Linked DNA regions of Daphnia pulex. The protein of the gene in region 2 purifies or fractionates together with the protein of the main gene of each other region. This does not show direct contact. Links are inferred from orthologs where the notes say so. Each region holds a gene or a part of one and is shown on either strand. Other genes may lie near its edges.

Region 1 (7,958 bases), on a different chromosome or scaffold from region 2:
TCCCATCCCTTATTCCATAACTGCTCTGGCATCAAACTGCTTTTATCTGCGTCTGCGGTTTCCTCCAATATTCTCATCTTGTAGCGCAGGACATCAATGACAGCACTCTAAATTTTTTAAGAGTGGAAAAGAAACATAAATAAACATTGTAAAATGATATGCACACTAAAAATAACAATACAATTAAAGCATCTTCCAGGTAGAGGACATCCTTGTCACTTTCGGCCATTCCATAAAGTTTATTTAATAAGGCATTCCAATGTTCCGCAGTGGCAATATCCAGATAATTACTGCTTAGGCACCTTAAGGCCATCAATGCCCTACATTGCACACTGATGTGACGATCAGCGTCAGCAATGACACGTTTCAAGTTTTGAACAACGTCTTGGACTGAGCCATCGATTGACAACTGAATAATCACAAAGAATTTTAAGCATTCAGAACTTTTGTTAAAGGTATTAAAATAAATACTTTGGCTAGAATGTGTAAAATGCTAGAGATCAGCTGGAAGATGCTGTCGTCTAATTTCTCTCCTCCATGATTCAAAATAAGATCTTGTATCAACTGAAGGAAACATTCCTGCTGAATAAGTAAAAAAGTTTTTTTTTTTTTTTTTTTTTTTTTTAAAATTCCAACAGTATAGATATTTTAATGGATTGTGTGTTGTGACTACCTCTGATCCAATGTGAAGATGAGGATTGTTCAACAGTGCATTGAAAATTCTGGGAATCCTTCTGACAACATGAGAATTTTCACTGGTGAACCCAACTAAATTTCTTAAAAACCCAGAAAGGGTAGGCATCAAGGGCTGCAGTTTGGGATTCTCACGCAAGTTGGCCAAAGCCACCTACAGTTTGATACAAATTTCAGTTGATAAAGCATACCATTAAGTAAACCTGTAAGAACACAATCTGCTGTTCACCTTAACAACATATTCTGAAGTGCTAAGTAAAGACTGAGAAATTTTCTCAAAGTATTGAAAATAAATCTCTGGTTGTAGTTTGTCTTCAGAATCTAAAGCAAGATACTGGATTGTCAATTTCATAGGAGAGTAAACTTCTACATCTGTTTCAATGGGATATTCCTGTGTGAGTTCCACTACTCTGTCTAAAGAACTGTAAATATCAAACTCTGGTAAATACAAAAAATCCTCTGGAGTAGAATTGGGTCCATGAACTTGTGGAACATCACTCCAACGAAGGGCAAGGTTAACATCATCCTTGGTTAGTTTAGATCGTTTGCTGTGACGTAAAATCTGACTGCAGCTCTAAGAAGCATTCAATCAATTGAAATTGATAAGTTATGATAAAAGAAGAAAAATATCTATACCTGTATTAATTCCCTCAATCTATACGAAGTATCTTCAGCAAGACTTTTTGAAAGAATTGATGGTACATTTGGATACCCAGCTGAATCAGCAATGAGCTGAATGGACTCAGGAGAAATTTGGATGAACTTCTTTTCAGACCCTGCTTTGTCAGAATTCTTCTCATTATTCACATCATTGTTCATCTTTCTTGTCACACAAAGAGATGGTTTCTCTTGTATTGAAAAGCAGTGCAATTGATACAAACATTAAACAGATAATCTCATGAGGCAAACTAGTAAACTGGGAGACTTCACGCCGGAGATTTCAAACTGAGCCGTCTGCAAACAACCTCCATTCCACCGCCAATATTTAGTTATTTTGTTAACAGTAGATGGCTCTGAGTGCTTGTATGACTATGTGCCCGCCAAAAATGCTTATTCGATTATTCAAACTTCTTGCGGGGCAAAATTTTTTCCACAATCACTACCTCAAAAGCTCAAATCAGACTAAAAACTCTTGGAGCTGCAAGTATACAAAAGAATTGAAATTCATGTTGATTTTAAAATTTTATTCTTTGCATGACAAATCAAACAGAAAAGATTAATTTGATCAATCTTCCAAGGAAATAAGGAAATTAATCATTTCTCGTTTCCTGATGACTGATATTTTAATTTGACTTTCATTTTCTTCAAGATTTTTGTAAATATCCTGAGAATTTATCGTAGGTTTATCGTTTATCGACACAACGACATCACCTGGCTGAAGTCCTCCCCTATATTAAAATCTTTATATCAATCCATCTTTGAAAAAAAAACAATACAATTTTAGCGTAGTCTTACCAATGTGCCGGACTTCCAAGAACAACTTTCCATACCAACACACCATGTTTTACATTAGGTGGAAGTTCAGTACCCCTCAATTGTAGTTCGGTTATCAGTTCGGTAGTAAGAGTCAACAATGTAACACCCATATAACGACGTTTAAACTCCTTCTCAGTATTTTCTAACAGCAACAACAAAAATATATGGAAAAACATAATCACATACAACACTGAGGATCTTGGATATAAATATCTTTGTAACACATAAAATTAATAAAGAATAATACCTTTTTCTACTCCTTTATTTGAAGAACAATTCTTGAGAATGGAGAGAAAATCTTTTACATGATCGATGGGAATTGCGAAAGAAATGCCTGCAGTAACTTTCATAGCGTTGACACCAACTACTTCTCCGTCGAGATTAATGAGTGGGCCCCCCGAATTACCAAACTGAAAATAAGACCATATGTTATTGTGTTTTTAAAAATACAAGAACAATGACTATTGCTAAATTTACAGTGATTGATGCATCAGTCTGAATATATTCCATTTCTTTTCCTTTATTTAATCCAAGCTCTGAGCTTCCCCTAGAAAGAGATTTACAGAATTATAGGCTATACCTTTTAGCTTTTTAAACATAGGCTACACTATTTTATTTACCTATTAATAGAGGATACCACTCCAGCAGTGATGGTGTTTGTTAGAGATAAAGGACTGCCAACTGCAACTACCCATTCTCCTGGTCTGACAGTAGATGAGGAACCAAGCTTCAGAGTTGGTAATCCTTTCTACAGGAACCAATAAGATGTTATTTTTGTGAGATAATCATCTTTAACAGATGCTGCTGTTTTTCTTACACATTGAATTCTCACAGTAGCAAGATCAGTTACTGTGTCAATATTTTCAATAATCCCTTGGAACATTCTTCCATCATGAAGCTTAACCTAAAGATACAAATTTCCATATTATTGAGGGCATAATTTTTTCCTTGCCTACTCATTGTGTTTAATACTTCACCATCAATTTTATACAGTATTTACTCTATCATTTCATCCATAATGATTTACCTGTACCGAACTATTTGGTTGTCCAAGGACAACATGTGCATTTGTTACAATTAATCCATCACCTTCAATAATAAAACCTGACCCATGAGACACAGTCTGCTGTGGAGCACTAAAATTGTAAAAAGAATTCCTGCAAAACATAATGTGAAATTTAAATTTTGTTTAATGTGAGTATTAAGTTGGTTGAATGTGATTCAAAAGAAAATTAGATTTTAATAACTGCATGAAACCTTAAATTTGATTTGATTTCAATAAAAACAACTCCAGGAGCCACTTTTTCAACAACATCAGCAATGAAATTACACTTTTTTCTTGGACTTTCATCATTAAGTTCACCACCTTAAAATCCAATAATCAAATGAAAATGGATAATGACCCAAATAATAAAATAAGTTATTATGAAATGAATCCAAACTTTTAGAAGTGGCAAACAACTTATTATTGTGTAAATGGAACTCGAACAGGAAAGCTCCTAAGGCAACTCCTGCTAACTTCCACGATATATTACACCAACAGTATTTCTGCAAAAATTCATTTCGACTTTTAAGGGAATTATAACGAAGGACGGCAAACTTTCGGTTTATAAAAGTAAGTTTTTTTATCATACGATAAATCGAAGACATTTGTACTGTTTATGAATTGTAGCTACTGTTATGGTTCAAGGCAGGGTTGCCACTCTTAATTTTGTTCATCCCAAAATACGGTCAGAGCAGAGCCATAGACAAAGACCACTGGTTGATGCTGTCCATAAGAAAATTAACATGGCCAACTGTCGCCAGAATTCTTGCTACCCTTCCTCCGATTTTCCCGATTCTGTTTTGCTTGTCCTGCCCTCTAGTGTACGTTTTGTTCTCTACACTCTGCTTACATCTATTCCATTGCAATCATTCAATTGATTTCTCTACTTTTGCAATTGGCAAACGTCAAAATTTAATACAAAATGACTTTTAAGTAAAAATTTGTATGAAAAAATTACCTAGAACTTTTAAACGCCAGCAAAGAATTTTACCAAGACAGAAGGAAAACAACTTTCGTCTGCAACACCCTTGGTAGCCACGGTGCAGTACAGCAGTTTATCCGCTAGGGGCAGGACAAGCAAAACAGAAACTCGGGGTCAGTAGGGATAGGGCTAAAAGGATAGGACATGCGAAACCAGTCTTCTTTATCTATGGCAGAGCTCTGGTCAGAGCTATAGAATACTGGTAACTAGCGCCACTGCCATGTTAACTCCTCTCGGAAATTTTCTCTGGGGTTGAAGCAGAGTTATAGATGTATAACCATAGTGGAGTAAAGTTATATTTTAACCTAGAACAAACTGCAAGAATTGATTTTTTTAATGAACTTTATTACTATCAAGGTAATAAATACTTGTTCAAAACCCTCCGAAGAAATAATTATATTTACTATTAAAAATATTGAATTTAAATAAAAAATTTCATTTAACTATAAATTAAATACAGAATTTAAAATATTAAAAATAAAAGAAAGTCATGAAATGATACCTTGTGATAGGCTACATCATATCACCAAATATGAATGTTTTCTGTCGAACGGCATTCTAGTTGTATAATTTAGAAGTTGTTACATTTTTAAAAATTTACAGTGCCGCCAAAAAGGTTTAACACGGGCTCTTATGCCCGATAGTCCCTAAGTAAAGTGACGATAACTTATAAACTATAGGACCTAAGTTTTTTCTATTTTTATTAAAAAATAAAGAACATCCTAGCGTATAAGAATTGATCGTTGAATTATGGTGTTAATAGGACTTTTTATTTAGTTATTCATACTTAAACTTAGTCTATGATTTTGTCTTATTAAATACAACAATTCCCACCACGAGTGTTGTCATCGTTTTCCTGTCAAGCAAGCAAAAAATTAACAAAGTTTCAGTAGATGGCCGCTGTTGGCGCTGACAATTAGGTCTAAATCGATACTTGAGCTCATTTTCCCACTTTCGATTCGCGATATTGGCTGCAACTTTAGGAAAAATTTCCGAGAGGAAAATTTTACAGGCAGTGGTTCTACCATCATCATAGCTCTGGGTTGAAGCCAATTTTAGCAATCGATAGTGAAAATCGGAGCTAAGATATCGATCTCGACTCTTACTACTCCTCCACTTTTCCCTCCATTCCTATACTATTCCTATACCCTATTTCCCCACACACCCGCCGTGGCGCTTACAGCTACGGGACAGGGCAGGCCATGGACTACTTAAGCTAGAGGACGGGACACTCGTCCTATCCCGCCATGTTATAGCTTGTCGGGTGGATTTTTAATCATATTTTTTTAAGAAGGGTCAATCGATAGAGATTTAAAAAGCTATTCTAAGTCTCCAAAGCACCTTTCTTGTGAAGATATTAAAAAAAAAGATATTTGCGCTTAAATTTTGAGGGGAACGGGAGAGGTGCTCGTTGGTTGTCTCCACCTAGCGCTCAGAATTCTAAACTCTTCCATGGTTTTTAGAAAGAAAACAAACAGAATCCAGAGAATCACCAGAGAATCACAGATAGCAGACGCACCTAATCAAACTAAACCAAAACAAAACCAGAGAATCATAGAGTGGTAAACCAACAATCACCGCTAGGCGGCGACAACTAACGAGCACCTACGTCAATTTCTAATTAAAATATCACCGAAATTAAATAATTCCCGCATAGGGATAATTTAATAGACTATAGCTCATTTCTAAAGCTCTATTGATTACTGTAACAAAAAAAAAATGGTAGGCGACATAGGAATTGACGAAGTGTCCCGTCCTCTAGCTTTAGTAGTCCATGGGCAGGCAAGCAGCAGGCTTCACTTCCAGAGAAAAAAAGCAATGGAAGGGCTCGCCATATGAGTGGCGGTACCAGTATTCTATAGCTCTAATACGGTGTACCGGAGCAGGGCCCAGGGCTGTGTCCGGGCCCCGGACACAGCCCGGACTCCGGGGCCATGAAAACCCGGGCCACAGCCCGGGGTAAAGAAAAAAAAAACCCAAAATATATCAACCCACCCAGGCATTTTTGTACGGGGCGGACGGGTTGAACCACCGGTTCCACGGGCCAACCCGAGGGGTGGCGCCATCTAGTACTCACATAGGGAATCTCGTTATTCAATATGCCTGCGGCCCCAAGAAAGACTAAAAATATTGCCGCAACTCCGCGAGAATTTCGTAGCATGAAAATTAGGATAAATGGTAGAAAAGGGCGTTCAGGGGTGTTCAGAAGACAGCGTTGACGTGTCGCTGTTGGAAAAAGAAGATAATTTAGAAATTTAGGGAATTTTTTAAAATTTGTAAAAAAAAAGTCTTTTTACACGATTTTTACCCGGGCCGTGACCCAGACGGTAAATTGTTTGTGACCCGTTGGGCGACACGGGGCGGACCCATTTACGCCATTGACCCAACCAAGGGTGGACCCATTTACGCTATTGACCCAACCCGCTCAAACCCGTGTTAAAAAAAAACCCATCTGGGCAACCCATGAAATAAAAAACACGCCCAAATACCTCCGGGCCACAGCCCTAAGCAGGGGTATGAAGAGATGGTTGCCAATGACAATGTGTCATTCATGATGGCACTCTTTCCAAATTCGCCATGTTGCACCCAGTTAACATGGAAAATCGGCCCGAGGGAAGAAAAGGGATAGTAGAATTCTTCCCTCGGTGCGAATCTCCATGGTTACTGGGTGCCAACATGGAGGATTTTGAAAGAGTGCGTTCACAAAACAGGGGGGGGGGTAGCGTCAGTCACTTCCTCTATTTCTCATTCTAATAAATTGATCAAAAAAGAAAAATTAATTCGATATACAGTACGCCAGGTACTGGATCACCCCGGTCCAAAGTAGTGTTTTACCTGCGTGAGATAGGCCTAACGATGTTTCGCGTGGGAATTTTTTTAGTAGACAAATTGGAGCTACAAGTTTCATTTTTTTTCATGACAAGAATACTAACCAATCCAGGTTTTCCACCAATTTCTGCAAGAAAGGTGCCTTTAAAGGGTTGCTGAGAGCCTGCAAAACATTCTCCCAGTTCTGTAGGCAGTTTGGACAGTCCCGCTCCTTGTTGTGTAATACCTTACATTTAAATGCTACTGCACCCTTGCGCAGAACATATTCATCTGAAATGTGAACTGCATTTTTGTCTAATTGTGGCTTGACACGTACTGACTACCTTGCCACCAATCTCTTTCTCCGTTCTATAAGCAGTAGCGGTAGAAAGAGAAAAAGGGAAAAAATGTGCATCAAACCGTTATGCATTTATCACTGGAGAAAGATAGCGTAGTTTCACCTACAGTGTCGACACACAATCTACAGATTTCGTTGAATTAGACTTGTCTTTGTACGTGCTATCAATTTGTGATTCGGACTACACGCATCAAAAACATTTTGACGCTTAACGGCATTGCTAGTGGAATACCTTCCAGTCTAAGGTTGGACAATAAACAACATTAGAATGATTGCCGATTACAGTGCTTTTGTATTCCCTAATCGACGTCTCATGATTTTTTTCAGTTTTATTTTAGTCGGTTTCGGTTTTGGAGTGTTTTCAGCGAGTTTCCCTGGCGTGCTCACGTTTGGGTACTGGTTGGCATCACTCACATTGGCTTTTTAAATGACTGAGCCCCACTTAACCAAAGGAGGACACTCTGCCGACGCGACGCTGGGTTGAGCGACGACACAATCGTTCGATGATTCCACCAGAATTCCGGCAGCCACGTTTTCTGCCAATTTTGTAGCTTCGTCGTATTGCTTGAGGTTGTTGAATGATCTGATGTCGACAG
Region 2 (8,463 bases):
TTTCAAAACCTGTTGACACAAGCTTTATAACGGCTATGCAATTGGTAGCAATACAGGCAAAACCAGAGTAAAATTGAATAACAGAACTTCCCATCTTCAACTGGAATTTGTTAAACAGTTAAATTTACTTTTTTTTGTTCGGTTTAAACCGACTTGTAATACCTGATTTTGATTTTGTTTCTGTTGTCATTCTGATTGTAATAAATTGTACTTCATACTGCAACTGTCTTCATTCGACGTTTTAACTTTTTTTTTCATTTAAGAGCCTTGCTAATTGCTTGCTTGCGAGTTCTCACCCAAATTGTGTTATACAGTAGACTTTCACCGATAAAATTACACTCGTTAAAAGTTAAAACGAAATTAATTCGGATTCATATTCATATTAAATTCGTGTGTCCAAGAATACCGAAAATGGGCTACACTAGCCAACGTAAACAAAATTTTGAAATGACTCATTGTATATACTACAAATTAAAAGATCGTTGAGCGAAAGTCAATTCGAAATCATCATCTACTAATTTATGGTCGAAGTTCCTTCGTTTCAGTGTTTATTCCAAGTTATCTTCTCCGGTAGTAATTTTTTTTTCCGAGAATGCGCGAGAATGCTTTACGAAAAAGATTAATTAGTCTAAACAATCCGCAAACACCATACAGAGCAAATTTATAATAAAATCTTCAAATAATGTTTCTAAGGTCAACTAAGGTTCTAAAACAAAACAAAACAAAATCGGTGCGGTTTTTCGGGTTTCGAAGAAAGCGCAGAGTCGCAGAGAATGGAGCAGTCTAACATCCTGCGTTACCATCAAATTTGTGACCAAAATGGCCAATCAGCGTACAGCATCTTTAAAACGCTTACGCTGATTGGGCCATTTTGGACACAAATTTGTGAAACGTGGATGTTAGACTGCTCTATTCTCATTTCAAATTTCCGACTGGAATTTCCACTAGGTGTCTCTGAACTACATTTTTTTGTGGGAAGTTCGACAGTAAGATCTCGCCATCTCGGCCTGATTATTATAGATATACAGTATTTACTCGTATTATTTTTGTAGTCCATTTTATTTTACCACTTTACACAGCCTTGAAATATCTGATGTTGGAAATTCTAAAAAAAAAATTGCTACTTTTTGTGAACAATTTGTGAGCTCCCAGTAATTCGTATAGTTTAAATTGACCGGATTCACGGTTGTCTCAAAAATCACAACAAATGTCTCAGAATACTTCAGGTTCTACGTCATCAACAAGCTATTCAAATGCACAGAATTCGAGTTCGACTGGTGGAGGAAATTCTGAAAACCAAGTAAATATTTATCCAAGATTTCTCTATTCAGTTTTATTAGCTTGCCAAAAATATAATGTCATGATTTGGAATGGTGGTATCACAGGTTCTTACAAGAGGAAGACTTCAAGATTTGGTCAGAGAAGTAGACCCCAATGAACAACTAGATGAAGAAGTTGAGGAACTCTTGTTGCAAATTGCTGATGATTTCATTGAATCTACAGTAAATGCTTCCTGCCAACTGGCTAAGCACAGACAAGCAACAGCACTAGATGTGACTGATGTCCAAATGCATCTAGGTGTGATTCTTTGGTGTAATTCCTAATACATTACTTTTATTAAGTTTTTAATTTATTTAGAACGCCAATGGAATATGTGGATCCCAGGATTTGGAACAGATGAGCTTAGGCCATACAAGAGGGCTCCAGTGACCGAAGCTCACAAACAACGAATGGCTTTAATAAGAAAGCAAATGAAAAAATTTTGAATACATATGAATCATTTTTGTAAACATGGTTAATTAACAATAAATTTAATGACTTCTATATGTTTATTGATGTTTACATTACATTTTCTACATTTTCACAAATCACCATGAAGGCTTGTAGTCGGGGCCATGTTCCCTTCCAAACAGGGCACTTCTATCTTTAAACAATGAAAGTCTGTCATACTCAATTTTTTCAATTTTCCATCCAACGTAAAGGCCAATGAGTGGGACGATGGCCATAGCATTTTTCGGCCTCATCAAATATTTCCATGTCATAGAAAGTTCTCTACTCATAATCGACATTTTCAAGGTTTTTTAGTTCTTGGTTTCTGGCGATGTCTCGTGCTTTACACCTTTGAGTGTACGAATAATCAGAGTAGATGAGACCGGCAGCAATAAGAGGGAAGGTTAAAGAAATGGCGTTCCTTTTCAACGATGCAAGAAAAGACCGAAGAGGAACGTTATGCAACAATGCCATCAAATTCAACAACTGAAAAAATAGCTTAAAATGAATCAAAACATTAGATTGACATTTCAAATTCAATTGGGCCAAATTTATAAAATTGTTATACCTTTTTAGCATGTGAATGCTAATCTGCTTCTTATGGATAATGGCTGTGATTGCACGTACGGGCGTCCAGGTTCAGCGAAAATAACAGATGGGCCTCTGATCCTAGAAAATAGTCCGAAAAGGCGGAAATGTTACCATGTTTGTAGTGTGTTGTCATCTGGTGGTGAAAACCATGAGAGAACTGAGAAAGTAGTATGAAATGGACAGAAGGCAGCGCCATAGAGAATAATAGCACATTGAGTCATTGACCATGACTGTAAGACTGTTCAACCAGTTCAACAAATAAAAATAAATAACACGCTAATAAAAAAATAATAAAACATATAGGCCTAATAAGCATTCTTCTTGCATGTTGTTTATTGAAAATTTTAGCAATTGTTATGTCATTTTTTGCAAATAAAATAATTACGATCAGAGCATCTTGAAGAGAACCATTTGCCTTGTTTGTGATATTTAATTTCGAGACAGTTTCCCTTTATAAGTAAAGCTTCTTGTTCTTCAAGGGCCCAGTTGGTGAATGTCACAAGTTCATTGTTATTTGTCCAGATCCACCCGTCTCCTTTACTGTTTTTCTTTCCTGATGTCCAGAAGGTTCCCGATGCTTAAATATAGAAATTAACCATTTAAATCATTTAATTTAAAAATATAGGCGAAAATAAATAATGTGCTGTACCTTTGCGCTTATCAACTATTTCTAACAAAGACAAGGGGCCCCGCCATCCCTTGTTGCTTGGAAAGTAAACCAAGCCACTTCCACCAGCAGCGTCCAAATCTGCAACAATTTAAAAAAAAAAACGATTTTTACCTCAACTCCCAGCAATTAATAAAAAGATTGCGATTAAACCTGATATTATTCCAACTTCACCAGGTTGAACTTGCTGCGAAATTCTTTGCTGATCTAAATCTGAAATGTCCGAAGAAATATGAATGCGGACTTTATCGCCTGGTTCAAATATATCTTCTTCCAGTGTGAACACTCCTTCGGACGGCCGACGTACATTTGAGCTATTCAGACTTCGAAAGCCACCCATTTGCAGATTCTGGGCGGGATACCAGCGAACGATACCCGTCTTCCATTGCACTTTAATGGCTAAACCGATGTATTCCCGATCCTCATAATCTAACACTCTGCCTTCGTCTATGGAAGGCCGTATTTGGCGCCCACACTGAAGTTATAAATGAAAATAAGTAAGGAATTTTAGCATAGTCGGCGGTACAATGAAAATAATTTGACGACAACAAACCACTGAAACGCATTTCACTAACATTCCTGGACTGATGTTATCATAGACATAATTAGAGTAGACTTCTTCACTTGCGAAGTCATTCTTTTTAAGGAATTTTCCCGCCGAAACTTGAGTATTTTAAAAGATTATTTTAAATTAAATTATTACACGGACAAATAAAACAATTAGTTAAGGTTTACGAAATGTGAGTAGCTTACTGTGGTAGTTGTTGCTCATGAAATTGTAAAGGTATTCATGCTCTTCTTCGTTTTCCAAATAAAGAAGTTGCATTTTTTCTTCACGACAATAATGGTTTGATTCCGCGAAACTAGCCTACAACCATAGAAAATCATGCATACTTGAGAAACTTGTTAAAAATTTTAAGTCTTTAAAACTTTCATCCGGTAGGATCCCACTCATTCATTCATTATAGGCTATATAGTACCAGGAATTGACTAATACAATAGAAATGAGTGCCAACAAAGTAGCAATCTGCCTCTCCATGATTGCTAGACAAGTTTCCAATGGGTAATGGCCGAGGAGGAAGAATTGCTGATCCATTGCCGAGAACGATTCTTTTAAATCCTGATTCGTTCATGAATATCATATAATTACAAATGGCATCCTGATTTCATCTTGATAATAGAGAAGTAAGTACATGCACGAATGAGGAACTTACTATTTGATTTTTCGAGGTCACCATGACTGTCCGACCTGATCGAATGAACAAGGAGGATGAAGAAAACCGCCGCCTTGGGAGAACACATTGCCTGCTGGAAATCAAATACCGTTATTCGTTAGTGGCTACGCATATCAAATTAACAAGTGGGTTACACTCAACAGTTAGAGACAGTAGGCCTAATCACATCGATAAGATATTTAGGAATGAAGGCTTGTTTTTGTCTACTGGCAATGCACACAGCGAAACGAACGCGTTCTTTGTTATTGCGAATCTTAACTTTTTTTAAAATGTTTGTTTTGTTCTGAAATTATGTTACAGACCTTACTCTAGGACGTGATGCTTGGTGAACACGCAAGACTTGACTATTGGCCATACACGCACTCGCACCTTTAACATTCAACTTCCTGTTTCGGTTGAAAAGAGACCTTCACGGTTTCACGGTTGAAGTGGCCATCGAATACCAGAAGCTTCTTGCTATCACTGAAATATTTCGAACTTGAGTTATTTGAGATTTGAATAACTTTCCGTTTATTTTTTAAACTAAAGCCGGTGGGTTTGCAAGAACATTTGCAAGAATTTAAATAATAAACAAAAATCCATACTAAATACTTATTAACAGTGGAATTTTTTAAATTTACAAGTACTAAGTTGTTCCAGAACTTAGAACTGTACTTCAGAAAATATCTATAGTTCGTCTTTGCGATCGCCAATTCATTTAGACGAATCCAAATGAACTACTTAAGACAAGAAGATGCGGACTGTTCCTTTAATATTTTTTCGACAAAGAGGACAGTGTTCGAGAGCTAAAAAAAAAAAAAAATTTATTAAAACGCTAAAATTTTAGTAACATTATTTGATCAAAATATTGTAGTTTACCTGCCGCGCATTGGACACAAGTCACAATGTGTCCACAAGGAATATATGCAATTGACACTTCCTCGTCAAGACATACTTTGCAGAGACGAGCTTCTTTCAGGCGACGAATCTCCTCTTCCAAAATTTGGGCTACAACAAATAAAATGTTGGTCAAATTAATTATTTCAAAATGTCTGAAAATTAATACATTACTTCTATCGACGGATTGTGTGGATGTTTCACATGAAGCTGATACCTCTAGGGCACAACTTTGTTCTTTTATTTTTTCAGGATTTTCTGGCTTACTAAGAGTATCCATTTCCCGATGCGAAAGCGGGGTTTCAGATCTTACTTCCGAAACCAATGGTACAATTGGTACGTTCTCATTGGTATTTGTTCTATGTTCATCGCTCGGTGTACTTAGAGAAACGGGAAGTTCTACAAGGGTATATCCAGTTGATGTTACACGTCGACGAGAAGAGGAAGGTACAGCTGACGGCCAGTCCACATCTTCATAGCTAAGAAGGGTGAAAGGAATCAATGAAATGTCTAATTCGAGTTGAGAAGTGAACACGCAAAAGACTTACTTGCCATCTTCCAACGACTGGCGATGCTCGCTGTGATGCTGAATTTCAATAGCTGCCTCAAGAAGCGAATCAACTGTGTTGAAAGGCTGCCCAGTAGTACGAATTTGGTATTTTAGGGCCTGCCTAACACGAGAAAGGTCAACGCCCATTGCTAGAACAGTCTGAACTATGGGAGTTCCTAGTAAACTTCGCAGATCAGCTTCTGAAGCCTCTCTTGGTGAGGCACGTGAATTTCCCACTGATGCCGACAGGGAAGGCTTGGCTTTAGGATGATTGGACATGGATTCTGTCGCTTCTTTAATGTACTGTTCTCCTTTCATCAGCATAACAAAGCGACACTGAGGGAACCATCGAGCGTGTTCAAGCCATGGGTCGTCTTCTGGTTCCCAGTTTCTTAAGCCCGATCCACAATGAAAACAATTGACATGATCGTTGGTCCCTAAATCCATAAATTAAATTAACAAAATAAAACCAGAATTTTTTGTGCTATTTGTACCAAGATGGAAGAAACCAGATAGAGCCATTGCTCTTGGAGTTTGCTTCAGGTGGGAAGGCCAGTTATTATAACTTTTAAGTCGTGCATCCAAAGTAGCATATGAGGAATACCGAGGTCCGCTATGTTTAGTTATGCCCAACTCTTCCAAATTTTCTCCTACTAATGCATTCAATTGCATACTGTCTGGAGATCTCAATTCTATGAAACAAAATTGTATTGTAAACCAAATAGATAATGAAGTAATTAGTGGTTGTCATACCAGTGTCTGGTGAGGCATTTGGTCTAAATTGTGAAGTAAACTGCCTGGTAGCTCCAAATCCTATGTTCAACTGCTGAGGTACAGGTAGAGAAGCAGTTCGTTCTACATTCAGATGTACAGTGGATGGATTTTCACCCAAAGGTATATTACCTACTGGTAAACCTAACCAACGGACCACAAATTAATGTCATATTGCAATTTCCGAATTTAACAGACCAACCTAATATGAAAGCGCACGACGGAAACAAACGTTGATGCTCTCTTCTTGGGTCGTCATTTATTTCCCAATCTCTAACCACTCCTCTGCAGAACGCGCATTGAACTTGATCGTCAACTCCCACATAGAAGAAACCGGCTTTAGCAAGTAAGAGGGGGCTTAAAAATGTGGCAGAGAAGTGTTCGTTAAAAGTTCGCAAACGAATATCTTCTCGTCTAAGGGTTATCCATTCTTGAGGCATGATGAAAAAAGAAAAACAGACACGACGTCAGTAATACTGACACCATTGTGTCAAAACAGAGCAATGTGACGTTGCCAAGTATTTGGACTTTGGATATTCTGTTTTTAAGAAAAATAAAACTTTGTTTTATAAATGTTAGTTTTAAGTTTTGTTAGTTTTGTTAGTTTCTTAAGTTTTTTCTTATAAATGATTAAAAAAAGAAGATTACAGAAAAAACTAGAAAATTTGAATAAAATATGAAAGCATGACCTGATAAGCTTTTCAATGATAATAAAAGTTGGACGAAATGAGCAGTCTGTCAAATTTTTTGACGGTCGTATTCTCATCAAGAAACAATAGAAACAAACAATGATAACGGCTTAAATTTTGAATGGACTATTTATTTTGATTCGGACACAAACGGTTGATTCTCGCATCTATTTACAGTGAATGTTGATGATCTATTCACTTCAAACTCAAATTTATTAAACCATTTCGGAGGGAGACGCCGACTTTCAAACAAACAAACGACGAACTGAATGTCGAAATAATTGTTTGTCGTGTTGAAGATGAGAATTCTCATTTCATCATGAACGCGCATAAAAAAGAGAAATCGAAATGTCCTTACTACACCCCATTCGAAGGCGGACAATTGAAAAAGCGAAAGTGTTTAATGCCTTAAAATCTCATTGCTTTTGCCGCTGTTGATGTGATTGTGCCGCAGCAAAGGACCGAAAAGTGCGATCTTAGGTTTTTGTTGCCCTTTTTTGAATCGAAGAAGGCCCTACTCCACTTACTTATTGAGCCTCAGTCAACAAGCGCATCGTCGCGCTCTCTCTCACCCTCCAATTCTTTACTGTCATGAAGTTTCAAACACGCAGAAAAAAAGAAAGAAAGACCAATAGAAAGATTTCAGGCAGTGTGGTCATTAGTGGCGAAGACCTGGTGAAGACGTATATAAGGAGAAAAGATTTATGACTGAAAGCAGACGCTGAACTGAGCTGAAGACTTGAACACATCTAGTATTTCTTCTCAAGTAGTAGCAATGAAGAAGGTAGGCAACTAATATACTTGTTATCAAATTTTAGTTACATAACATTAAGATATTTCCAGGTTTTACTGTGCAATTGCCTTCTCATGGCAGTCATTGCCATCAGCCAGACGGATGCATTCTTCCTAAATAAGGGCTCTTCAGGTAAATCATTTTATAGCTATTCTTGTCGTCGCTCAAAAGTTACTGTTAGTGCCTAAATTTATACCACTTGTGTGCAACATAACTCAATTTCAGTAGTCATAAACTCTTGGCTGTCCCGTTGTAGTTAAGGAGTTTTGACTCTTATTTAAATAGGTAAATTGCATAATTATTTGATCAAGGTAAAATTTTCCATGCTACAGCTTGTTGTTTGAATTTCAGAATATTAAAAAATTAAGTATCGATTAAATTCTTTAGTTGTTTTTTTAAATACGAGTTTTTAAATTGTTTGATTTTGCAGGGCGCGCAATGAGATCCTACGGTGGTGGTGGTGGCGGCGGCTATCGTGGAAGTGCTGGAGGTGGAAGTGCTGGATATGGAGGCTCTTCCGG

Evidence for each region. Proteins that work in one complex are often made in the same cells at the same time.
Region 1: the proteins of baculoviral IAP repeat-containing protein 7-like (region 2) and serine protease HTRA2, mitochondrial-like purify together in Homo sapiens (affinity purification with mass spectrometry; 4 studies listed by BioGRID and IntAct, counting the BioPlex papers as one, with this or other methods). This does not show direct contact. The link is inferred for Daphnia pulex from reciprocal best matches to the Homo sapiens genes BIRC2 and HTRA2.

The regions. Positions count from the first base shown.
Region 1 is NC_060026.1:11,304,218-11,312,175, forward strand, and holds serine protease HTRA2, mitochondrial-like, read right to left. Parts: upstream 3,872-7,958; 5' UTR 3,820-3,871; coding exon 3,612-3,819; intron 3,536-3,611; coding exon 3,427-3,535; intron 3,327-3,426; coding exon 3,197-3,326; intron 3,074-3,196; coding exon 2,987-3,073; intron 2,918-2,986; coding exon 2,790-2,917; intron 2,717-2,789; coding exon 2,647-2,716; intron 2,580-2,646; coding exon 2,417-2,579; intron 2,312-2,416; coding exon 2,149-2,311; intron 2,082-2,148; coding exon 1,919-2,081; 3' UTR 1,863-1,918; downstream 1-1,862. Other genes in the region: TAF6-like RNA polymerase II p300/CBP-associated factor-associated factor 65 kDa subunit 6L, read right to left, coding at 1-107, 182-409, 472-582, 674-847, 923-1,267, 1,330-1,512.
Region 2 is NC_060023.1:3,932,683-3,941,145, reverse strand, and holds baculoviral IAP repeat-containing protein 7-like, read right to left. Parts: upstream 6,976-8,463; 5' UTR 6,901-6,975; coding exon 6,663-6,900; intron 6,605-6,662; coding exon 6,443-6,604; intron 6,382-6,442; coding exon 6,184-6,381; intron 6,127-6,183; coding exon 5,688-6,126; intron 5,619-5,687; coding exon 5,122-5,618; intron 5,049-5,121; coding exon 4,984-5,048; 3' UTR 4,750-4,983; downstream 1-4,749. Other genes in the region: uncharacterized protein LOC124198280, read left to right, coding at 1,217-1,300, 1,386-1,578, 1,639-1,766; uncharacterized protein LOC124198279, read right to left, coding at 2,721-2,938, 3,011-3,109, 3,182-3,503, 3,582-3,691, 3,764-3,896, 4,009-4,148, 4,243-4,330; loricrin-like, read left to right, coding at 7,925-7,933, 7,993-8,074, 8,373-8,463. UniProt on the Homo sapiens protein: Multi-functional protein which regulates not only caspases and apoptosis, but also modulates inflammatory signaling and immunity, mitogenic kinase signaling, and cell proliferation, as well as cell invasion and metastasis.